4 linked regions of the Caenorhabditis elegans genome follow. The main gene of each other region encodes a partner of the protein of the gene in region 3 in a complex. Each region holds a gene or a part of one and is shown on either strand. Other genes may lie near its edges.

Region 1 (4,943 bases), on a different chromosome or scaffold from region 3:
TTCTGAAATAATGAGAAATCCATTGTTGACTGGAACGAGCCATATTCTCGGGATCTTCAAGCAATTGGACAACTGTGTCAAGGAAGCGAAGCAAAAAGTCCTTTTCCATGACATCCGGCGCAAAAACGTATTGAATCGCCTTTTTCTTGGTTCCGGCAACGGTGTCGACACGAAGTTCAAGTAATTCCAGCAGGCAGTTGATCATCTGAATTTTGAAAATTTTGCAAATAATATTTTTAAAATGGATTAACAAATCTGATTATATTATATTGATATTAAAATCCAAAAAAAAATCCTTTCAGCAGAAAAAACTATATGAAATTTTTTTTTAAATATTTATGGCATTAAATATAGAAATATTCAGAGTTTGGAGCTTTTTTCTAGAAACTAAATAATAATTTCAAAAACTCAATTTTTTAGATGGAAGAGCTCTTTTCTATACAGATTTCGGGGGGCTTTGACCAGAAAACACGAAATTTTATATATTTATATTTCCCAGATGCGATATTTTGCGAAATTTTCACTAAACGGGTCTTGGCACGACCGATTTTATAGTAAAAGGACGTGAGCCTTTAAGGATTACAGTAGTTGTTTTTTTTTTCGATTTTTTTCAAAATGAAATCGGAAAATCGAAAATTTGGGAGTTAAAAAAATCTGAGTTTTCTTTTTTTTTTAAGAAGAAAATTGATTTTTTTATTTATTTTACAAACTTTTTTTTTCGATTTTGGATTTTCTATTATCTCTGAAAAACCTAAAATTTCTCGAAGACACATGAATTTTTGCGTTTTTTTTTAATGTTTTTTCTTCTAAAAAATCTATAAATTTACAATTTATTTTTCCTGGAAAACTATAATTACCCGATGTCTCTGAATATCCTTCCACTTGACAATATCATCATCTAAATCAACTTGACGACCACCTCTTCCAGTACCACGTTTCGCCTGTTGATTGGCTGATGCTATCGATTTTGATACGTATAATTGAAGTTGAACAGTCAATCGTTGAGTAAGAATTACAAACATACTGACTGCATGCACCAATTCCACATCGACACTATGATCTTCTCCAGATTCATTTTTTTCGAAATAATCGGCCACGTAGTCGCTTACAGAGTCTTTTAGAGCTCCGGAACCTGCAAAATTTTGCGGGGTTTTGAAGTGGAAAATATATTATCTGCATTTGAAAATAATTATTATTTTTTTTTAATTCGACTTTGAACAACTAAAAACAGCGAAAAAAATTGTCTGAAAGTTGAAAATGACCGGAAAAAATCAGGCAAATCCGGCAGTTTTCAACTGTTTATCTTTGAAATTTTTAGACAATTGCCGCTTTTAAAGGTCCTATATTTTTTGAGAATTTTCTGATTTTTTTATTATTTTTTCCAACAAAAAAAACCGAAAAATAGTTTTTTGAAACAAAAATTTTCAATTCTTCTGTCGAAAAATTGAGAAAATTGTCTAAAACAATAAAAGTAATGTTTTCTATGAAAAATCAAAGTTTTTCAAAGATTTTCTCCGAAAAAAAACAATTTTTCAGCGAAAATTTTTGAATTTTTCGAAAATCGGAGGAAAAACAGGAGGAAATTTACTTTTTAAAAAAATTTCTAGAAGCTTTTTAAAAATTGAGGTATTTTTCAACTAAATATGCATGTACAAATTTCTAGGTTTTTCAATTTTCAATTTTTTTTCGAAATTTTTAAACATTTTACTTTTTTTTTGAAATTTTTTATTTTTTCCAACAAAAAAAAACCGAAAAATCTTTTTTTTCTAATCAAAATTTTTCAATTTTTTGGTCTGAGAAAAATTGAGAAAACTGTCGATTTTTCTGCTTTTTCAGGAAATTATCAATGAGTTTTGGGCACTTTTTTCCTCTTAAAATATAGCAAATTTGAACTTTTTCGTGGTTTTTTAAATTAAAAAAAATTCTCTTCAAAATCGGGTTTTAGAGCAATATTTTATACTTCCAAAATTCCACCAAAAAACGCACAAGAAACGAGATAATCGACGACTTTGAATCGATTTTCCCAATTCTCATAAGTAGAAGCTCGCCGTGAAAGTGAGCTCAACGATGGAAAGAACTTTGGAATTCCTCTCCAATCAGAAATATCCGAATATGAAGAGAAACTGTCGATATCCTTATCGATTTGTTCGGATGGAATATTATTGTCAGCTTCGGCGATGATTTCCGTGATACTTTTGAAGCCACTGAAAAAAAAAATTTGAAAATTTAGAGTTTTTGACAGGAAAAAAACAGCCTTTTTCTCGGTTTTTCAGGAGAAATTTGAAGAAATTTGTGATTTTTTTTTCATATTTTGTTTTAAAAAATTCCGATTTACTTCTGCATTTTCTGTGGAAATTTAAAAAAATTATTTTTGATTGAGGAAAAATGGAAAAAAAACTGATTTTTCGGTTTTTGAAATGAATTTCAAAAAAAAAAACGGAAAAATCCATGGTTTTTCTTTTTTTTCTAGAAAACGGTGCATATTTATTAAACTTCACAGGAAAAATTCTTTATTTTACTTTTTTTTCTAGAAAATTCCATAAAAGGTTCTGTAAAAAATTATATATTAGTTTTAAATGAAATTAAATGAAAATTATGGGTTTTTCAGTGAAGAAAGCATCGAAATTATTGCAATTTGCAGAGAAATTTCAGTAAAAATTGAGAAAAATATATCTAAATCTGGAGTTTAATTGAAATTTTTGAAATTTGATATTAAATTTTTTTTTTTGAAATTATCGGAAAAAATTAAGTTTTTTATCGAATTTTAAACTGATTTTTTTAGTTTTTTATGTGAAAATTGTGCACGAAATCTGATTTTTCTCACGAAAAAAAAAACTGAAAAATCTATAATTTTCCAACTGAAATTCTCAACCTCAATCCATCATTATTCCGTGTCGGCTGCTGCTGCTGTTGCTGGCTCGTCGAGCCAAAATCCATATCCTCATCTTCATCTGAAGTCGGTGGTGACGGTGTAGTGACAACGCGTTGTTTTCTCGGCATTTGTTAGGGGAAAAGCCTGTAGAAGGGGGAAATTAGTTTTTAAAAAATAATAACAAATCAGTGATATTTCTAAGCGAGCAAGTGAGCACTAGAATAAATTCAATAAAAGAAAAAACAATTAAAAGTTTAAAAATTAAAATATTTACAAAATTCTTCATTTCATTTTAATTTCAAATCATAAAATATTCTTCAGCGGAGGATTGAGAGAGAAATCGGATGGAGTGGGGGAGTTGTTTTGTATATTTCCGCATTCAAACCCCGGAAAATTCCGAAAAAAAAACACAATTTCCAGATTTTTCTAAGTTTTAAACGCGGAATTCTTGATATCATATACATATTATTACATGATGAATGACTCGATAACACATTTAGGATCAGTAGTACATTGATCCGGATCGAATTGTGATTCAAAAACACGAATCTGATTGTCTCGACAACGAACTGCAGCCGGAAGATATCGACAATTATGGAAAATCAGAAATTCCAGCGACATTCGATCTTTGAATTTGTCGGCGATCAATGCGATGCCACCGTATCGGGATCCACTGCAAAAAAAATCAATTTTTCGATTTTTCGAAAAATATATATATAAAGCTTTATTATGTTTTTTCATCAACAGATACAAAATTTTATGAAAAATTTCATTTTTTTCGAACTTTCGATGTTCAATTTTTCAATTATTTAAATATAAATATGCTGCTCTGAATGGAATAATAAATCTACTTACTGTTCCATTTTTTCGTGTATGAATTCTCGAATAATCTCACTGTACATGATACCCTCCTCGTCGTCTCTGAAAGAAACAAAATTGATGCGTTGTTGTTATGGTAACTAGGGTCTCGCAGCGATTTATCTCTTTTTTTTTAGTCGTAAAATCTTTTTTAATATTAAATTTTCTTTTTTTTACAATTTTTAAAGCTATTTGTAAGGGAAATAATTTAAAAATTGTTAATTTATCAATTGTTTGCCGATTTTAAGAGAAAAAAGTTTAGAAACAGTCAAAAATTACATTTTTGTGCTACATTTTCAAGAAAAACGGTAAAAAACTTGGATTTGCAGTTTGTTTCAGATCACAAATATATGAAAATCTCGAATTTTGAGCTATTTTTTGCAGAAAATAGATAGGAAATTGTGGATTTTTGTGCTAATTTTGAGAGAAAATTGCCTTTGTAAAATTGTAATCGCTAAAAACGTCCCAATTTATGCAATTTCTACAGAAAATGGTCCTGAACGCGCAAAATCCCCGAATTTTAAGCAACTTTTTTAAAAAGAAAACTGGTCAGAATTTCCAAAAATTATAGATTTTTGTGCTAATTGTTCGAAAAAAGATTCAAAAATCATCAAAATTGTGGATTTTCATGCTGATTTACATCTAAAACTGCTCAGTTTTAAGTTATTTCTACGGAAAATGATCCAGTGCGCGCAAAATCTCCAAATTTTCAATAATTTCCCAAACTTACAGCACTCTCGTGGCGATACCCCTGCAGAAATCGGCTTTCACAAGTGATTCACCGTGTCCTGTCGAACAAATCGAGATGGTTCGTTCACTGACTTGATCAAATGGTTCTTCGTATTGCCTTCGTTCAGACCATGTTCCACTTCCATATACACAGCTGTGACCAAGCCGTCCCGAGTGTTTTAGCACAATTCCACCGCTTGAAGTACCGGATTCTGAGTTCATTGTCTGCAAAAAAGACATTTTTCGTGGCGAAAATTGGAAAAATACGAAATTTTGATAGAATTCAGGGGGAAAAACTTTTGAAAATCGATTTTTTTTTTGCAAACCAAATTGGCATTTTACTGAAAAGTGGTAATTTTTTATTTGAAAACCGTTTTTTTTTTTCAGAGAAATTTAGACCCAAAACCGGCTAAAATAGAGGAAATTCGAGATTTTTATAGAATTTTGCCAAAATGGAGTTGACAATCTGGTTTTTTAAACTCGT
Region 2 (4,985 bases), on a different chromosome or scaffold from region 3:
CACAATTTATTGCATATTGTGATAGTTTATCACGCAATTTTCCTAAATTTTGGTGCTTTTTCAGTTGATTATGCCGAAACTCTCGAAAAAAAATTCGCGAAATTTGAAATTTTAGCTGAAAAAAAGCATTAATTTTTGAAAAACAACTGTTTTAAAATTAAAAAAAGTTTTCTCAAAATTCCGAAAGAAAACTATTTTTTAAAGCTAATATCTCGAATTTTACCAACTTTTCAGTGTCATAACGGCCGGAACTTGGTTCGTAGTAAATTATCACTCTTTATTGCACGTTTTTTCGTTAATGTTGATGGCTTTTCGGTCGATTTCACCAAAAATGTGCAGAAAATGCACCTGAATTCACGAAAAAAAAACGCATAATATACTACAAAAATATATGTTTTTTTTTTTTCATATTTAAATATGCAATAAAAAGGCGATAATTGAATAAAAACCAAGTTCCGCTCGCTGCGATACTGAAAAATTGACAAAATTCGGGTTTTATTATGAAAATAGGTTTTTTTTTTTAAATTTTGAAACGGTATAACTCTTTTAAAATGAATTTTCACACAAAACCTTACTTGTATGAATTCAGAAGTCTCGTATCCATATCCTTGAGCTTAGTGATGCTCTCATGCAATTTTGCAGCGTGTTCTCGTTTCTCCGTATCAGCATCTATATTGAAACCCAATAATTGAAGTTGCTTATTGATCTCATCGACCTGAATATTTTTAAGTTTTCGGAGAAAAAAAAATTGAAATATCTGATACCTCTTTTTGATAATTATCGGCACTTCCAATGTCAGATTTACTTCTGGCTGAGAGAGTAGCTTTTTCGCCTTCCAAATGTTTAATTTGGTTGTGTAGACGTTCACCGCTGAAATAAATTGCCAATTTTTCAATGATATTCCTATTTAAAAAAGTACATTTCTTCTTTTGTCCCATTAAATTTACTGAATTTCCAAATTAATGCATTATTTTTTCGATGTTGTGTTTTCTTTCAATTTTTGCAATTTTTCAATGAAATTACATCGTTTGTAGTCAATTTTTTATCGTTTTATGTTAATTTTTCTGTTTAAAAATTGTTTAAAACCAGTTTTCAATGTAAAAATAGTATAAAACTGGTTTAAAATTTTTTAAACAGAAAACTGAAGAGAAAACGACAGAATAATTTCATTGAAAGTATCCGCAAAAAAACTATCATTGACGTTTTCAAAAAGCGAAAAAACGAAACTTTTTGTTTTTCGATTTTTCTTAAAATATCTCAAAATTTTTGTCATTATTCTTATCGACATAAACAAAATTAGATTTTTTGTTCCAATTCTCAGGAAAGTTACCGTTTCTTCGCAGCAGTAATCCCAGATGACATTTGAGACGCAGTCGACTTGCAAGACTGTATTTCACTCTCAATCGACACATGTTCTCCTTTGTCATTAGCAATTGTTCCTCTCGTTAGGGATTCGAGGTCATTACGGTATTTTGTGACGAGCTGAAATTGTTTTTTTTTAACTTTATTTTTAGAATAATTTCTCGAACTTACAGCTTCATCATCAGATTGACTTTGAATATCTTTCGAGTTAGCCGCCTTTGAATCTTCGTGTTCTTTTCGTTTTGCGTCGAGAACTTCACGATCTTTTGACAAGCTTTTGTTGATTTGTTCACCTTCCTTTTTGAGTTTATTGATTGTTTCAACCAATTGATTTTTGACAGTCTCCTTCTGAAGCATTATAGATTGTTTCGAAAGATGAGCCGCTGAAAGTGCAGCCTCTTCATGTTGATCATCTCGAGATTCTTCCATCTTTTTCTTCTCATCTTCCTTATTCTTCAAGTCAAGATCAAGCTGATTAAACTTTTCACCGAGATCTTCAATTCCCTTTTTGGCATCTTCAATCTCTTTTGCACTTTTTTTCACCGCTTCACATGTTTGAAAGTATTGAAACGCCTCGTATTTTCGGGAAAAGTTCTCTTTGAGTTTCTTGAGACGAGTCACTTCCACCATATTCTTTCTGTCTTCACGGAACTTTACCATTCTCGGATCAATACTTGATTGGAAGATTCTATCAACTTCTTTGAGTTTTGCATCTTTTAAAAACATTGTTTTCTCCGCGTCTTTCTTCTTCTGATCATACATCTTTGTTCCAGCTGCTTCCTCAACCATTCCGAGGATTTCCTCCGGCTTCATGTTTAGCACCGTAGTAATACGACCTTGCATGATGAGAAAATGTGGATTATTCACGTTCAAACCGACGCCACGGAAGAAATCTTGCATTTTTCCATTTGTGGCCGCATGCCCATTCAGTGTGTAACTCGTTGCACATCCTTTTCCAGTTGCTTGAGCTGTGATGATTCTCTGAACGACGATCTCGTCGAGATGTTCCATTCCGAACGGGGAGCATCTTTTATCAGTGTTGTCGAAGCGAACTTGGACGATCGCTTTTGTTCCACCATGGGAAATCAGCTCGTGCATTGATTCTGGAATGATATTTGACTTAATTTTTTTTTCTAAATTTCAATTTAAAAAATCTTTGCTAGAAATATTATGCTACTCTGATCTTGTGCTTTTTCAGTCCGAAAGCGCGTAAGTATCACTATGACAACAAAATAATTTTGTGATGAGAAAGAGCCACATACTTGCTCTGATATTATCGAGCTTATTGATTCCCATAATGAAGCAGATCGAATCGAGAATATTGGATTTTCCACTACCATTGTATCCTGAAATAAAACAATTATTATACTATATTTTATGCTGAAATTAAAGTTTTTCAAACTATTAGTTTTCAGCACAAAACTATACTCACCGGTGATTGCGTTGAAAGTCGGCGAAAAATCGAGAATATCGGTGTGCTTTTGGTACGATTTAAAGCCATCCAGATGGATGGATTTAATGTGCATTATGAGCGCACCCTGTCGAATTGATTTTGAACAAAAATAAGTTATAAGTCGATAACGAGTTTGAGAAAATGTTTATTTCGAAAGCCGAATGAGCTTTGAATGTTTTTTGGCGCGTCTTTTGAGAAGTGTGCAGAGTGGCGTGAGAGTGTTTGCGGACTGGAATGTATGAGATTTGACGCGCAAAAGTTGCCTTGTGATTTTTGTAATTTTTTTCTCCTTTGTTTTTTCTCCTTCGCTATAATTTAGAGTCATTTATTAATTTTTATTTTTTAATTTTTATTAAACAACGAAAATCGTTGCAGATATGGATTCCGAAAAAGAAAATCCTGCTAGCCCAACAACAGGCCGTGAAGAAGAAATTCCTGGGTAAGAATAAAAATCACATTTTCTTTCAAATTAATAAATGGAATTTCCAGATCCTCCCCAGAAGGTGTATATCCTGCCGATGAAGATCATATTTTCCACGAGGATCAGGCCCCACTTCGAGTTGAAAGTGCTAAGCATGAAGAAGAAATTGTTGAGCAGCAGCAGCAGCAGCCGGAAGATCTTGAACAAGGAGATATGATTGTGGAGGATGGTGATCAACAGTTTATGGTATTTCAAGCTTTTCGATGAATTGAAAGAATATTTATATTTCAGAATATGGTTCAAATCACGCAGGAAGACATGTACGAAGCGGGTTTCGATGTAGAAGCAGGCTTTGAGCTTAATCATCTCACCGAAGAGCAGCTGAACATTGTGGTGGCGATTAGTCAACAACGACAGGCGAAACAAAACGAGCAAGAGCACAATGAAGAAGTTGTCATAGAAGATGGTTCACATCATCACATGGTTCATCACGAAATGATTGAAAATCAATTTGAAGGTGATGGAAATGGGCCGGAGGAAGAATATGATGGGAATGGTCAGATAATCGATAATGCAATGCATATTATTCTGACAAATGATGGTGGAGTCAATATTACATCAAAACAGAAGCAATTCTATGTTTCCCCCTCCGAAATCGCCAATTTGAACATTGATTTAAACAATTTAAGCACTGAAAATGTCCATCAACTTGTGCAACTTGCTCTACCGCCCATGTAGGTCAACACGTAGAATTTTAACTATATTTTTATTATTTTTAGAAAAGAAAAAGCTCAAGATTCTGCATACAACGATCAGGCTCCATCAACAAGTTATCACCATCATCATCATGAACAGTTGGAAGCTGGAAGTGAGTTTCAGAAGCTTATTTGAACTAATTTTAATTATCCAAATTATTTTAGAATCTACAAGAAGCCCAATAATTGGAGAAACCGTTCAAATTCGGACAGCTGATGGTCGTCTTCAAGATGCGGTTGTCAAATATGTTCGAGGCGATTCGGAGTACAAGGTGAGAAACTCTTTACTTTTTCTGTTTAATTAGGCAAGATAAGCTCTGTTTTGATCCGATAAAATGTAATTATTTTCAACTTTTGGATCAAAACAGAGCTTTTCTAGAAAAAACGAAGAAAAATGCTCATAAAACTTCTATAAAGTATATTTTTTAAAGCTTTGAAATTTCAGATCCAATTAATGAATGGAGAATTCGCGTACGCCACCATCGACCAGATGCTCGTACCCCAGCGAGACCGAAGTGATCACGAGTATCAACAAGTTGCTCCGCCCGTCTTGCTCCGGAGGACGGATATGGCTTCAGTTCGAAATGCTGCTCAAAAGCGATCAGCCAACGATGATCTGTGCCCTCCAGTTCTGAAAAAGTCGTATCAGTTGGCTCCTGTCGTCGACGGACCACATCTAGTACATACTCCGAACTTTTGTTGCCCGATTTGTGATAAGAAGGTCTACCAGAAGGAGCCATCGTACATTGTTATTCGGCTACCAGCTTGTGATTCATGTACTCGTGAGAAGATTATAGTTCTTGATGAGCAAAGCAGTTGATATTCTTCATTTTTACTCGAAATTTATGGATTCATTTATTTATATGTTGCTAAAATTCTATTGTTGTAAATTAATCATTTAATTTTGTTTTTGCACATGTTCAATCAAATACACATAATTCTTTTTAGATACATAAAAAATCTACAAAAAAGGTAAAACTTAAGAGGGCACAAA
Region 3 (8,034 bases):
CGGACAACTTAAATATGAGATCGAAAATGAGATGGCTGGAAAAGAGGCGGATAATGATGATAATAGAAAGAGTACGACCGATAATTCTACAAAAGGATCTAGTTTTGACATGTTCTCTCAATATTTTTCATTAAAATTTAGGAATAATATTTGTTATGTCTAAAAATAACTTATATTTTAGTTGGAACAATCGGAAAAGTGCTCAAATATTGTCTCAAAGTTTGAGATTTGTGAGCATCTTTTCAACTATTCCAACTTAAATATAAGTTTTTTCAGATAAAGGAAACATTATTCTATATTGCTAGAACATTCTAAAACTAGCTCCTTTTGTATAACTACCAGTATTCTGGAAACATATCATTTTTCAGGCGCCAAAAAAGCTCGTGGACGTCCACGTGGAAGTGTCAACAAGCCCAGACAAATGGTCAAAATGGAGCCACAAGACGATCGTTTCTTCGAGGAGTTCTTCATTGATGCGCCACCACTGCAATCAATGTCATCTAATGAAGAGCCAACTTCTTCAAATAAGGAATCCAATGAGTGCACGCCATTCAATGATATTCTCAATTGTCTGCAGAACGGTAAGCTATTTGACATAACATTTATCACTAATTTATTTTTATTTCAGATCCTATGAATTTCTGGTCTCAAATGCAACAAACCGGTGTTATCGGTCATTTCTGCGACGACATCATTGTCAGTGCAATCAATCTGAAACAATCCGTTATGGATAATCCTGTCACTCCCACCACTGCCAACATGCTCACTCGTACTGCATTCGCTCTCGGAATTCCACCTGTCGTTGTTCATCGTGTTCAATCGATTGAACGAAACGCTTACCAACAGCGGAAACATGACGAAATGTTTAACGATATTCAATCAACTTTGGCCGAGGAGCACAGTGTCAAATATCAGCCGAGAACATCATCTTCAAGTCAAGAGAGTCTTCACACTGCTCGAGAATTTACAGAAGAGAAGGTTGAGGAACTTATTGATGTTTGCAAGTACGACGATTATCCAGAATCTGAATGTCTTCCAGGACCTAGTCATATTCAATAATTAAACAATTACGGATTTAATCCACAAACGCACAAATAGTGTGTGCATTTTTTCGTATGTATTTTAGAACTTCATGTTTTATAGAATATAATTAAATTCTGATCCAGTGGAATAGCCCACTGCTTACTTGTGAGCTTTCCCCCCTCAACATACCGGTGAAAATTGTTTGTAGTTCTTCTAGAATGTTTCATGCCTTTATAATGAAATCGTGTTCATTTGAAATTTCTATTCATGTTTTACAAACTCTTACTCGTCACAACGTAATACTGGAATATCTTTTAATTTATGTTTATTTTTTTTATATTCAATTTTCAACCTCATTCTTTTGGAATTAAGACGCCTTCATCAACAACATTATTGATTGCGTCGACTTGATTCCAAAAAATGAGTTTCACACGAATACTCATCAAAGTGTCATGGCAACAAAGAGATAGAGACGAAAATATATCATTGAGCAAACAACAAGCTTTCAGAAGGGCACAATCGGTTTTCAGATGAATAGAATTTGTGCTAATCATCTGCTAGCGGATTTTGTTCTTGAGAGAGATAATACTCCGCTCATAAGTAAACAATTGAGAATTAAATTCGCACAAAAGCATAAATCTTCATTCGCGAATATTTTTATTACTGTAGGGTCTCGCCACGAACAGATATTTTCTGTATGTGTCCCTTTAATTGAACTGTAGCTTTATCGATCGGTCGAAGGCATCAGAAAAACTTTCTTTTTAAATATATATTTACTTCATAACAATTTCAATCAATTTGTGAATTTTTTACATTCTCTTTGGATTCTCAGTGTGCGAACTGCCTCGTTCCCGCGTTGACAACGAGAGACAAGAGTCGCAGACGACTAAACATCATTACGAAACTCCGGTCTCCCTTCGACCCTTTGTTTAGCAACGAGGACTTTTGAATTGAATTGTGCTTCTTGTTTGAATATATTTTATTTTCTCCTGCTTTCTATTATCTAAAATTGTGTTTTAATTACAGGGAAATGGATGTACCATCATCCAGCAACGTCACTGGACGCAGAAAAGTAAAAAAAGAAGAATGTTCTGCTTCTACCAAAAACGTAATGTTTTCAGAGACAAGTTCTAGATGATGACGAAGATGATGGCTTCAGATCTACCCCATTGCGTAAAGTTCGAGGAACTAAAAAAATTAGGCCAGCGGATGTGGTGCCAGAAACAATTATGACAAAAATTGGCGCCCATATCGACGATATTGTGAATAAGAAAAAAGTTGGAGAGCTCAACTGTTTCGAATATAAATCGCCGCTTGAAATTCATACAATCGAAGATATGATCAAAGCAAAAGCTTCAATCCAAGAGATGGCAGTTGTGCTCGAAGGAGCTCAGTGCATTATTGGTTATCGAGTCGATCGGCTTCACCACGACGTTCGACAAATTGATTCAGCTCTCTCGAGTGGTAATTACATTTTTTTTTTAATATTCTTGGAATTTATCGTTTCTTTTTATTACAGGAACTGTTATGCGAGATTCAAATGGTGAAGAAATTCATTTAACACTGGAAAGCAGAAAAGCTAAAAAGAAAATGGCTGTTGTTGACGGAATGAATGGAATGCTCGATTTTCTCAATAATATGGATGATGCTCTGACAACCACCGAACTTGACGCAGACAATGATAAGAATTGGAAAGAAGATGAGGAAAATATTGCCGGAGAGCCACGAATTGATTTCAAAGCCAATTCCAAAGATGTTGACGCATTTCTTCAAAGAGACATTTTCCCCGAAAAACTCATTTATGCATTGTCAATCAAACGAGCAACTGATCTCAGAGCTGACCTTCTCTCTGATGTTTCCAATTACATAAGTGCTGATGATACGGCTCATGATCTGAAAGACGCAAATATCGATTGGCTGAGAGCTAACCCGACATTTCAAAAGGCAACGAAAGGATCCGTGTGCAATTCATCAAACTCGTTCCATTCTCTTAATTATTATGGAATTCATTCTCCCGATGGACGAACTCTTATGTTGCATAATCGAATTGCCGATAAGAATGCTGATGATCGGTTTTTCACGTCCGATGTGTCTGTCTCACTTGTAAAAAATACACGAGCTCTCCTCACCAATTCATTAGACAAAAAGCCACGAATTCTCGACAACTACTTGATGCTCGAAGTCAAAGATCGCCCAGTTATTGGGAGATACAAAATAATGTCAAAGGATGTGAAGAAGTCAACGCTACCATTGGCGGAATCGTCTCGTGAGAAAGATCTCGCCAACTTGACATTCGCAGAGATGAATCATCGGCCTTCAAATCTGGATATGACGGTGGCAGGAGCATCGGATATGTCAATGCTTCCAGGAAATCAAGGATTACCACTCGCCCAGGGAGAAAACGATGAGACGATCGCTCTAGATAGGCTTACACCTCCTCTTCAGTCGTCTGTGTCACAGAAAGCGAGTGACGAATATGTTCTTCCACCTCTTGAAGCTGTAAGTTTTTTTGCGCGCCTCTGAATACATTTATGATATAAATTATTTTCCAGAATGATCTCGATGAGCATCTCATTGGAAAACTGCCAATTGAGCCGAATGAAATGGATCAAACATTAGCCAACATGTTTGATAAGAAGCTGGAAGTGTTCAACACATCTGATACACTTGAATCAAAAGTCTGGAAAAATGGAATACGTGCAGAAGAATGGGGTGAAGATGATGAGGCAATTATGAAGAATGACACGAAACATCCACGTCAGGCTGGAATCGAAGGTTGGATTAAGGCAACTGATGCATGGACCAACTATGATGTTGTAAAAATGAATGTAAATCGAGAAGCTCGTTCTCAATTGGATGAAAATGCGATTGACGAGCAAGAATCGTATAGAAATATGGTTCCGGAAATTGGAAAGAATTTGTTCTTGGTGAAATCGGATGATTATATGAATAACTATCCTGGAGATCGTCCAGCAGACTTCACAGTGAATGATGAAGTGTCTGATGTGATGAAAATGTGGTCTGGTGAGGATAGTACAGCTGAAGATGATGTTCCGTTAGAACAAATTCAACAAGAAATACGGGAACAAGTGCAACAACAAGATGTTGATATGGAGCCTATTGAGGAAATGGATTACGATGCCGGCGGTGCTGCTTTTGATGTAGACTTTGATGATCGACTTGCAGCTCCGGTTGAAGTTGAGGAAATGGAAGGAGATAATAATAGAAATGATGGAAGGGTGGCTGATATTCTTTTTAATGAGCAGATGGATGAGTAAGTTTCAATTTTGAATTGAAAGTTGATTCTGTTCGGTTTTTTGTTGCCTATAATGACAGAAGAACGTTTCAATATAGCAAAAAAAACCGTTATTCATTTAATGTAGATAAATGCAAAAATTTATTTTTATCCATTCTCACCTATTCATGAGTGTCGAAAAATGCAAAAAAATACAAAAACTAGACGAATAGGGGGGAAAATGTATAAAAATACATTTTTTAAAAAATTTTCTACATCACATGAGTAATGAATAACCACAACTATTTTGAGATTTCTTCAACAATTTTGCAAAAAAAGTTAAATCTTTTCTGAATTCCCGCGCTTCCCCTATTTTCGACATTTTGAGTTTCCGGCAATATTAATTGGATACTCTTTGCTTTTTTATAATTTTACCTTTGAAAAACGCTAGATTCAACATTTTTGAAAAGACTATCCACATTTTTTTTCAATTTCAGAACTGAAGTAGAAGAACGAAATGAGCAAGATGTTCAACGGGAGCTTGAGGACATTGCACTTGCAGCCGATGAAGTTGCAGAGTTGATGACTTCTGCACCACCGCCACAACTTGTTGGACCATCTGCAGAAATGCGTGAAGAGATTCAAAATATCGGAAAGAACGACAATGCTCATTGGGTTCCACCAGTCGTTGGTGATCAAGAGAGACAAGCAGCGGTTACAGCACAACGGAAACGGCGAGAAAAGAAAGCGAAGAGCAGAAAAGCCACTGTCGAAGATTTCGTTCATTACTTCCGTGACATTCCTGATGACGAGATTGAACGAGAAATTACTGCTGCAAAATGCTCTAAAATTGCTGATGAGAAGAGCACTTTCCTTTCGGAACAACAGTTATATCTTCCAACTTTGGGAATTGAAAACAAGCCGCATGTCGCTTTTGAAATGGGTCTTCTCGGTAACAGCGGGATGTTCTTCAAGAAATCATATGGGAAAATACGACTCGAACGTGTCAAAAATCAAAAGGCTGAGCAAGATTTGTTCATTGATGAAGCCAGAGGAAACAAGGATTCGGATTGTCTCAATTGGCTACTTTCATTCAGTGGATTCAGGTGCATGGAGTGAGTGTCTAGGATTAAATATATATAAAATTGTTAATTTTTCAGAAATCCGGAGCCTATCACTGGCTCTGACTCGGACGAGAATCTACGAACTGCCGTAGAGCAACCGTTTGATGACGATTTTGCCAACGATTATTACGTACGTTTCTGTTAAGACCTGCCGGTTTTCCTGTCGGTTTTCTGAATAATCGAGAATCGAAAAATTTTCGTTGTTGATTTTTCCAGTTAAAAAAAGCTCGTTCAAAAGTCCAAAAGTTTTCGACGATCGATACCGTTAAATAGCTCAGACGCGAAATGTTGCGACTTTAGAACAAAAAATACAGTACCCGGTCTCGACACGACAATTTTTTATAATGAAGCCGAGTGTGCGCCTTTAAAGAGTACTGTAGTTTTAGACTATCGTTGATGCGATGTTTTCGGTGATTTTTCTATAAAACAGATTTTTTAATTAAAAATTGAAATAAAGCACGAGAAAACAATTCCTTTTTAGTGTATTTACAGATTTTAATAAATAAATTTTATTTATTGAAAAATCAACAAAAATTTTGCAAAAAATGCGTCTTTTCGAGACCTTGATACCGTATTTTCGGAGAGAAAACTACAAAATAATTCGGCATCTAATTACAGGACGAAGACAGATACGATCCAAACTATGAACAACAACTCGCTGCTGCACAAATGGGTCCGGATATGCAGGTAAAATTAAGACGGAATATTTTTTCCAGTGCTCATTGAACATTTTCAGAGGAAACTAGCCTTGACCGCAAGTCACATTAATCAAATGTTCCCGAATATCCATTCCAAACGATACGGTGGTGAATACGGAGATTCAGATGATGAATTTGACGATGTAAGTTTAACAAAAAATTTATATTAAAAAAGTTTGTATAATTTTCAGTCATTCGATCGCCAGTCGATCCAGGCAAAGAATCTTGACGCCGCCAAGCACAAGAAGTGTCTCGCTGAAATTCTGAAGACTGATAGTCTATCGATGCCTTCAATTCAATATGTTCTGGAGCAGTTGACATCTAATCAGACTCTACGAATGAATAATACAACTATCCGAGCTGCCGATGATCGTAATGAAACCGGAAGACCTGCAACACCGACAATGGAGGCCGACAAAACGTTGACGTCAGTGTTTGACTATAGATCACCGAACAAATCGAATCACGATGTGAACGAAACGATGAAGGCACTAACAGAGATGCCAGATTATCAAGCAGCAGATGAGCGTCCCAATAATCAACCAACTACATCTACATATGGAACTGCTAACACTGAAAATAGAAAAGTGCATATAAATGGATGCCATACACTTCTTTCGTTGGCACTTTCAATGCCTTCCAGAATGGGAGAGACTGTTAGGCCCTCGTCTATCGTCAGCTTCCTATTGCATATTGCCAATGAAAATGTATGTTTAGTTTTTTTGAGTTTATTTTTTCAAACTCATTCTAAATTTTCAGAACTTGCAAATTGTTCAAGATCGATCAAAGCGATCCTGGATGTCTGATTTCATTGTTCTCAATTCAAGTGAAAGCCTACCACGTGGTCTGAAAATGGGAAGAATCGAGGATCAAGACGAGTTCTGGAAACGAACTCAAGATCCGGACGCCATCGAGGGTACGGCTAGCGATGCGAATAATGTGTTCTCGAATTTGATGCGACGTCCGAAGGCAGTACCAGTTCGTAAAGGTCGTGGAGCAGGTGGTCAACCTACAACAAGTGATCTCGGAGCAATCGTAGAAGAAGAAGAAATGGAAGAATAAGCATACTTTATTAAATTTCTCCATAAAAAATCATTTATTTTCGGTATCAAAATTGAATCTCAGAATCCACCCAATTCGATGTATTTATTCATTTTATCTCTCATTTCTCGAAACTCGAAGTTTCTTTATTTATTTTTCTCTCTCTGAATTGAGTACCCCGACACCAAAAATTTTAAGTTTTCTGTCAAATCACTCTTTACAATGAATATTCAATATGATATTCGAGCCATAAAACTTGTAGAATTCTAGGGATACAAAGACCCTTTCTGATTCTTCCGAAAAAGCATTCACTGATTCCATAAAAATTACGAATTCAGATGTATAGAAACGGGATCCGATGGATTACCACTAGCACGGCGGCTCTGAAGGGACCCAGAAATTATGTGAATCGAAAAACGGGACGTGGATGTGGAAATTCGGTTCTTTCAAGATTCGAGTGGAGATATGATAAGGTTCTTTGGAAATTAGATTGAAAAATATAAATTCAACTTTCGTTTATTACCCAGGCGCGAAATTTTGCGATTTTCGCGCAAAAAATACAGTACCCGGTCTCGAAACGACAATTTTTGTCTAAATGCGAAAGGGTCTGCGCCTTTAAAGGGTACCGTAACCGCGAGCTCAACGAAATGAGAGAAAAACTTTAGAAAATCAATGATAAATAAATTGAAAACATTTTTGATTTTTCGGGAAAAAAATTAGAAATCGAAAATTAATTTTTTGTCAATTTAAATTAACAAAAAATGTCAACATTTTTATCAAATTTTGTGTTTTTTTTTGAGAAAAATTACAAGAAACCGTTAAGTTTTCTTCTATAACGAAAAAGATTTTAAAATGTAGGCTGCTTTTTCGGAATTCAATTTTTTTCGAAATTTTCTAGAGGCGAAAAATCGAA
Region 4 (7,728 bases), on a different chromosome or scaffold from region 3:
TAGAAGTTTACATGGTTTGTGACTCTGTAATATGCTCATCTGAACCGTATGTTGGCAGATGTTCTTGCTCACAAGACCATCCGTTGTTTGATCTCTCATTTCCCACCATTAGAAGACCCGTTGTTGGCTGCAACATCAAAAACGAAATCCTCAATTACACGCAACTAACTGCTCAAATTATAAGCTTATCTATCATCTCAACAGAGGAGATCAGCTCATATTCTTCTCTCACACACCTCTTCTACCCATCACAAGATGGAGTCGTGCCAGCCCGTACCAGTGTGCTTGTTACCTAGGCGACCTGAGAAGTACAAAATAATCATCCGTCTCTTGTTTCTCACACCTTGTTAAAACTAGTCAGTTTTATACTTTTGTCTTCTGACTTCAATTCTCTTCTATTCTCTTCTTCATTAAGGATGCCCGGATCAACTGGTGCAATGGATTTGACGGAGCAAGACACGGGTAATCGCAGACAGTAATGCCTATCAGGACTTTAACTACTTGTTCTATTATAGACGAAGTTCAATAGAGATCGTACAGACACATAAATTGACAAAATTTTTGGCTCATTTCCTTCATGCTTCCATCTGGATTCACATACATATCTAATATAAAATTTCAAGTTTCACTCATCGTGTTAAACTACTTCTTATCAATAAAATCTAGTGATTTTTTTTCAATATTATACATATAAAAACCTCTCGGTTTTTTGGGGACCTCTTCAGCTGAAAACTCGTATACTTTTCCCAAAGCGTGATCGTTGATCGACTATCTGTAGCATATCGATTTGTACATCTAGTAATGGGAAACGTTTGCCAAATTTTCAAATAATTAGAATCTTTATCTCTCCAGCTCCTTAGTCTGGTACACCCAACCTTCTTCGCAACAATATTCCGCTCATCACCCACCCACCCATTGCTATGGATTCTCTCCGTCTCTTATTCCACTATTCTTTCTCTCACCCGAATCGTCTTGACCGCAGTCGGAGTCTGTCATTTCTCTCAGTCTCCACGTTCTCCATGCTCTTTTCCACTTTCACCTTCGTTCTCTTTCGTCGTCTGCCTCTAACCCCACACTCGGTCAGCAGTAGTAACAGCTCGCACACACAGACACAGACATACGCTTGCGCGCGCGCAATGAAATGGGTGTGTGCTCGTGTGTGACCGTTTCTTAACTTTTTTTTTGAATTTGACAAATAAATTAATTAGCGCAGCTTTCATAATCTTAAATCTTAAAAAAATTAACAAACTTATATATAGTTTCCAATGTTATCTGTGCCCTGATTTTCCTAAAGTCCGGAAAAAAAATTCGTTTGAATTATCGATTTGAATTTTTCCCCAACATTAAAAATTTAGTTTTCAATATTTGAGGTGAAATCATACTGATAACTATATAATATACTATAACATTAATAAATTTCTAGATGACTTTTTTCAATGTTATCAATTTGTAAACTGTGTGATTCAATTTTAAATATGAAATATATATTTCAAAATTTTTTGATTAGGTAATGTTGGCAATTGGCATTCAAAGAAATTTTGTCAGTTGATAATTACCAAAAAAATTTGATTGGAAGGGGTCGAAAGTTTGCCAGTTGTCAAAACATTTCCAAAGCTTTGCCTTTTTGGCAAAATTATGCACCTCTTACTCTCCCTCTCCCTTTTAATATTTATCAAAATTAATTCCTTTTTTCAGGTATGCAGCCGTTTAAAAGACGGGCGCTAACCTCGGACGATGATAGACCATATGCTGACACCGACTCGATGCCTGAAGTCGATCTCGACGTGGATCGCCGACGACAGTACATGGAACAGCTCAACATATTCGATGATGTTAGTTCAGGCGCGTATATGTTGGAACTTGAAGCGGCTGAAAACGGTGTGAAATATGATGAAAAAGAGGATCTTTTGAATGTTCAAATTCCCCCAAAATATGAAGATCAGATCTCGGATCCGGATGGAAATCGAATGATAATTCTGAATATCTACGTTGAGAACTTTAAAAGTTATGCTGGAAAACATATTCTCGGACCGTTTCACAAGAACTTGACAATGATCCTGGGACCAAATGGAAGTGGAAAGTCAAACGTTATTGATGCATTGCTATTCGTGTTTGGATTTAAAGTGAGTTTTTTAAATTGAAATTTTTATTCCACAATATACATTGTTTCAGGCTGGAAAAATTCGTACCAAGAAGCTATCAGCATTGATCAATTCAGGAGGGAACTACGAATCATGTTCAGTAACAATTATGTTCCAGATGGTGAAGGATATGGTAAGTAGGTTATTAAAGCGGGCCTGAGATCCACACGATTGAAAACAAACTAATAACTATCAATATCAAAATTAATTTTCAGCCTGTCGAAAATTACGATAAATATGAAGTGTTAACAGATAATTGCGTCTGCATCACCCGCACAATAAATCGTGAAAACAATTCAAAATATCGTATTGATGACAAAGATGCATCGCAAAAAGACGTCCAGGAGCTTCTCCTACGTGCTGGAATTGATATGACCCATAATCGATTCCTGATTCTGCAAGGAGAAGTTGAAGCGATTGCACTAATGAAGCCAACATCCAAAAATCCGAATGAAGAAGGAATGCTTGAATATATTGAGGATATTGTTGGAACCAATCGTTTTGTCGCACCAATTTCCAAACTAATGCATCGGGTTTCTCTATTGGAGCACAAAAGTTCACAATATGGAGCCTCGTAAGTTCATTTTAATATTATTAAATACCACAAATTTTGGCACGGATGTACCACATAAAAATATAAAGCATGGAAATTCAAATTGAACTAGGAAAAAACAAAAAAACTTTGCGGTTTCAACTTGAAATATATTAATTTTCTGAAACTTAAAAAAATTTCAAATTAAAATTCTTTCCATTTCCAGTGTTCGCCGCCACGAGGGACACCTAAAAGTCTTTGAAAAGGCAATGGTTATCGGGATGGCCTACCTGAATACCTTCAATAATCTCAACTACCTTCGTGGAATCCGTGTCAAGCACAATTTGTGCCGTTATGCTGAAACAATGAGGGACGCCAAAATGAGTCTTGTCACTCGAACAGGAGAACTCGAAGAGAACAAGGATATCATGCTTGAGGCAAAGGATGAAGTTCGGAAGAAGGAGACTCACGAGAGAAGCCTTAATAGTATTGTCACTGAGCTGGAGAATAAAAGAATCGATTGGCAATCGAAGAAGAATGACTGGCATGCACGTGATGCTAAGAGAAAGCAGGGGCTCAAGTCGTGTACTCAGGACCTTGGGAAGCTCATGAAGGAGCGGGATGAAGCTCGTCGGGAGAAGTTTGAAATTGAGACGGCTCCAGAGAATGCGAGAATCTCTAAGCAAAACATGCAACTCGAATGGGATCAGCTCAAGGAGCAGGAGAATGTGTGTCAGCGGACAGCTACAGAGAATCTCATCAAGTATGATCAGAAGTCTAGTGCCGACAGAGCGAAGCATGATGATCTGGAGAAAAAACTCTCAGATGAGCTTCTGCAATCGATGCGAGCAAAAGCAGAATTGGACGTTTCTGAATCAGAACTTAAGGATATGACGATAATGATGGAGCAGGGACAGAAGAGAGTTGATGAGCTTAAAGGGACATTGCAAACAATGATGGCTGAGAACATTAGAGATAATACGTAAGTTTTATTTTATTTTATTTTATTTTAACCAGCTTTTAAAAATTCCCCATATCCTTCCAGTGAGCTAAACGCCGTCACAACTGAGCTGCAAGATAGAAAGCTGAAGTTTGACAAAGCTGTCGAGAAGCTTCCGCATTTGAAGTCTACCGAACAACTTTTGAGAAGCAAGAAGTATGAGCTGGATCAAGAAGTGATTGAAGCATCGAACACCCAGGAAGTTACGTACCGTCATCAGGCAACCGCAAAGCTTCATGAACTGAAAGAGGCTGGATTATTTCCGGGCTTCAAAGGTCGCTTGGTAAGTTATTCGATTGGGAGTGAGTACCTGCTTTGAAATTTGATTAGCTGTGAGCATCCTGGGGTAATCTGATGTTCCATGTAAGTATGATTTTTCTGGGAGAAATACATTTTAAATAGGATCTTTCAAATTCAGAAGCCACACGTTTAGTCTGATTTCGAATTGATTTTTTTTCGAGGACCAATTTAAAATTAATTGTCTTACAGGGAGATTTGGCAAGTATCCCAATCAAGTTCGACACCGCAATTTCAACAGTGTTCTTTGCACAATTGGATTACCACGTTGTGCAAACTAGCGATGAATGTAGAATCGGAATTGGCTTCTGCCACGAGTACAAACTTCCTCGTACGACGTTTGTCTTCTTGGATCACTTGAAAGATACTGATACTAGCGGAATGGATTCTACAATGAAATTGTTGGTAGTTGCCTTTAGTTGCCAAATCTAATTAATTCTTATTTTCAGCCCAGCCGAACGACTTTTCGATAAGATTCACTGTGTAAACCCTGAGATTCGCCGCGAATTCTATTTCTTGATCCATGACATTCTGGTTGTTGACAGTCTTGAAGAAGCAACTCGAATTGATAAGAAGTATCCTGGAAGGCATCGTTATTGCACACTGAATGGCTCAATTTTGAACCGAAGTGGAGCATTGACTGGTGGTGGAAAACCGACGACTGGTCGTATTCGAAATGATAATAATCCAAACATGAGTGGAGTCAAAAAAGTTGATTTGAGCAAGCTAAGAGCCGCACAGGAGAAGCACAATCACGCACTGGAAGCTCATTTGAAGTTGCAGTTAAAGCAAGAAGAGATCCGAGCCGACAATGGTCCGATTATCAAACAGCTCGAGATTCGTAAGCGTGAATTGATTATGTCCACCAAGGAGCAGAAAACACGGATTGCCGAGTTAAAGGTGATTTATTTTTGCGTCTCTTACTGAAACACAGAAATTTTCGCTGTTCCGATTTTCTTGAAAATGGATATATCGAAAAAAAAACTAGATTTTATTCAAAATTTCCATTCTAATTTTTTAATTATTTCCAGAGCTCAATCGCAGCACATGAGCGCCGTATGGTTAACTATAGAGAAGTGACCGTTGAGGATTTGGACGAGAAGAGAGCTCAAATTGCAGATCTGAAACGTCAAGTGGAGGAGAGCCAAAAGTCTTCAGCAAAAATCAAGCAGCAAATTGAGCAATACAAACGGAAAATGGACCGAATGTTTATGGAGTTGGTCCAAAAAAATAAGGACTCAATTGAGCAGGCGAAGGATCGAATGGGACAGCTGGAGCAGGACATTGCACGACAAACTGCAATTATTGAGAACAATCCATCACATTTGGAGCAGGCCGAGAAGAAGCTTAGTGAGCTGGAGCATATGTGTCTGGAGAAACGTAGCGAGGCAGATGCATTGGCTCAATTGGAAGTTGGAGAGGATGTAAAGGGAATTGATATTATCAATGCGCAATTGCAAACTTCAACGGTATGTTTAATTTCTATAGGACTAGGATTCTGGTTAGGCTTATGTTTAGGCTTCGACTTCAGTTCAAGCTTAGGTCCAGGCTTAGGTTCTGGCTTGAGCTCCAACTTAGGCTTTTTTTAGGCTTAGGCTTTAGCTTGGTGTTTCCAACCTTGCTCCCTTAGTTCTAGTAAACATTTTCGATTTTTTTTCAAAATTTTAAACCACTATTCAAACAATTTTTGCGCTTTTTTAAGCAGTCTCCTTATGAAGTTCGCCATTTTCGAGCTATTCAGAATTTACCAATTCAAGCTTTACTATTTTCTAATTTTTAATCTTCCAGGCCAGCATTGATGCACAAAGAGCCAGGTACACTGAAGCGGTTGCGGCACGCCGAGAAGCAGATGCAGCCTATCAAACCACAGTTGACAACTACAACATGGTCAAACAGACTTATGATGAACTGATGAGAATCATTGATGACTTGGAAAACAAGACAATGGCGGATAATGCAGAACTTGATATTATTGAATCTGCATGGATGCAACCGGAAAAGCTCTATCCACCTGGCAAATTTGTCAGATATAATGATCCAGATATTGCGGCCAAAATGACTGATGGGTACGTTTCAGAAGCTTTGGGAGATTTTCCATGTGCAAATTCAAATTTATAATCACTGAGTTTTTAGGCACGTTGTACTCCCATATGAATGCATCAGTATGATCGAACCTCACCGTGAAGCTTACGAAGAGCACGAAGCGAGAATGCTTGAGGACGATGTTTTCGAGGACACTGCTAACAAGATTTGCAAGCTGGAAAAAGATGTTGACAAGTTCCGGCGGGAATTTGATAATAAAGGTGTTCGGGATTATGCGATGATTGTGTCGCTTCTCATGAACGAGGTGACGTCAGCGAAGAAGTTTAGCGATAAGCTGAAGGCTCATCGTGAGAAGCTCAACGAGTTGAGAATGGCGAGATTCAACGAGTTCAGCGAGGCGCTCGCATTCTTGGGTACTACTACCCAAATGCTTTACCAGGTGAGTAAGGGGTACTTGCCTGCTACCAGGCTGACAGGAAGCATTTTTTCTGTCAGACCCATTGCTTTAAATGAGATTAAAAGAAACAAGTTATTTGCTTACAGCTTATCACCAATGGCGGAGATGCTAGTTTGAAGTTTGTGGAAGAAGGAAAATCTACCGATCCCTTCGATGGTGGAATAAAGTTCAGTGTACGTCCCGCCAAGAAATCCTGGAAGCTCATCGAGAATCTATCTGGCGGAGAGAAGACTCTGGCCTCTTTATGCTTTGTCTTTGCAATGCACCACTACCGTCCAACACCCCTCTACGTGATGGATGAAATCGATGCGGCACTGGACTTGAACAATGTCAGCCTGATTGCAAACTATATCAAGCATTCCGAGCGAACACGGAACGCTCAATTTATCATAATTTCGCTTCGAAATCAAATGTTCGAGGTCGGAAATCGCTTGCTTGGTATCTATAAAATCGATGGAAAAACTTATAACATTATGGTGGATCCGATCGCGGTGGAGATCAAGAATCGTCCGATTTTGAAGATTTTCGAGGAGGAGATCAAACGGCGCGAGAAGCTACGACGTGCCGAGATTGAACCGGAAATTGATTTGAGTAATGGGCTCAGCAATGTCGTTATTGCACCAAAACGTAAGTAATAATTAGTGACATATCAACTGCACTTTAATTGTAAAATACCAAATCAAAGTAGCAACCAGTCCAACTTAAACCCATCTCAACAAATACCAATTTTCAGGTAAACAACGCCGGCTGGAAATGCTGAAACTCTCGGACTTTGGTCTCGATGATGACAGTGATCTTCCTGAATTTAATAGATTCCCACCCGCAACTCGTCGTGAATTAAGTGTTGAGGATTCAGATGAAGACGATGAGCCAGTAAGAAGACGTCCGCGTCGTCAAGTTGAAGAGGAAGATGAAGAGGATGAATTGATCGAAGAAGCAACTCCATCTCCACCACCAATTGTCGTTCAACGCCGTGTGCGAAGAAGCAGACATTAAATTGAAGTAATATATTTTAAACTAAATTTTGAAAAAAAAAAGAAAACTTTGTGAAAAATCCAAAAAATGAGACCAACTTTCTTTCAAGCTTGTATTTTTTAATATTCGTCTAGCTTAATTTTTCCTTGTGATTTTAATTATTTCCCTTTTTAATATATTTCCATTTTGTTGTATATTTTGTGAAACCCCTATATCTTTGCATCACGTACTGTCCAATCTATCTCATTTTCTTAATTCGCTGACAAGGTAAATTTTCGATTCA

Evidence for each region.
Region 1: dpy-26 (region 3) and dpy-28 share a complex: the UniProt entries of both Caenorhabditis elegans proteins name them as parts of the dosage compensation complex.
Region 2: dpy-26 (region 3) and mix-1 share a complex: the UniProt entries of both Caenorhabditis elegans proteins name them as parts of the condensin I complex.
Region 4: dpy-26 (region 3) and dpy-27 share a complex: the UniProt entries of both Caenorhabditis elegans proteins name them as parts of the dosage compensation complex.

Annotation. Positions count from the first base shown.
Region 1 is NC_003281.10:10,761,204-10,766,146, reverse strand, and holds the start of dpy-28 (Condensin complex subunit 1), read right to left. Parts: upstream 3,017-4,943; 5' UTR 3,001-3,016; coding exon 2,873-3,000; intron 2,205-2,872; coding exon 1,987-2,204; intron 1,133-1,986; coding exon 858-1,132; intron 206-857; coding exon 1-205. Other genes in the region: tasp-1 (TASPase homolog), read right to left, coding at 3,341-3,545, 3,728-3,793, 4,461-4,684. UniProt on the Caenorhabditis elegans protein: Required for both chromosome condensation and segregation during mitosis and meiosis and X-chromosome dosage compensation depending on its binding partners.
Region 2 is NC_003280.10:10,822,287-10,827,271, reverse strand, and holds the start of mix-1 (Mitotic chromosome and X-chromosome-associated protein mix-1), read right to left. Parts: upstream 3,027-4,985; 5' UTR 2,889-3,026; coding exon 2,795-2,888; intron 2,709-2,794; coding exon 2,625-2,708; intron 2,466-2,624; coding exon 1,534-2,465; intron 1,483-1,533; coding exon 1,331-1,482; intron 871-1,330; coding exon 765-870; intron 716-764; coding exon 576-715; intron 1-575. Other genes in the region: R06F6.12 (uncharacterized protein), read left to right, coding at 3,193-3,254, 3,305-3,482, 3,528-3,970, 4,016-4,104, 4,157-4,263, 4,437-4,811. UniProt on the Caenorhabditis elegans protein: Essential protein required for both chromosome condensation and segregation and X-chromosome dosage compensation depending on its binding partners.
Region 3 is NC_003282.8:12,445,310-12,453,343, reverse strand, and holds dpy-26 (Condensin complex subunit dpy-26), read left to right. Parts: upstream 1-2,008; 5' UTR 2,009-2,053; coding exon 2,054-2,095; intron 2,096-2,144; coding exon 2,145-2,487; intron 2,488-2,542; coding exon 2,543-3,522; intron 3,523-3,575; coding exon 3,576-4,297; intron 4,298-4,755; coding exon 4,756-5,373; intron 5,374-5,418; coding exon 5,419-5,512; intron 5,513-6,000; coding exon 6,001-6,069; intron 6,070-6,118; coding exon 6,119-6,223; intron 6,224-6,271; coding exon 6,272-6,787; intron 6,788-6,839; coding exon 6,840-7,142; 3' UTR 7,143-7,459; downstream 7,460-8,034. Other genes in the region: Transcription regulator spe-44, read left to right, coding at 1-71, 369-581, 629-1,059; C25G4.3 (Ribosome-binding factor A), read left to right, coding at 7,460-7,594. UniProt on the Caenorhabditis elegans protein: Required for both chromosome condensation and segregation and for X-chromosome dosage compensation depending on its binding partners.
Region 4 is NC_003281.10:3,813,647-3,821,374, reverse strand, and holds the start of dpy-27 (Chromosome condensation protein dpy-27), read left to right. Parts: upstream 1-1,695; 5' UTR 1,696-1,697; coding exon 1,698-2,123; intron 2,124-2,172; coding exon 2,173-2,274; intron 2,275-2,356; coding exon 2,357-2,715; intron 2,716-2,899; coding exon 2,900-3,655; intron 3,656-3,718; coding exon 3,719-3,956; intron 3,957-4,162; coding exon 4,163-4,371; intron 4,372-4,419; coding exon 4,420-4,870; intron 4,871-5,001; coding exon 5,002-5,439; intron 5,440-5,758; coding exon 5,759-6,036; intron 6,037-6,103; coding exon 6,104-6,452; intron 6,453-6,556; coding exon 6,557-7,097; intron 7,098-7,203; coding exon 7,204-7,466; 3' UTR 7,467-7,728. UniProt on the Caenorhabditis elegans protein: Central component of the condensin I-like dosage compensation complex that associates specifically with hermaphrodite X chromosomes to reduce their gene transcription throughout development.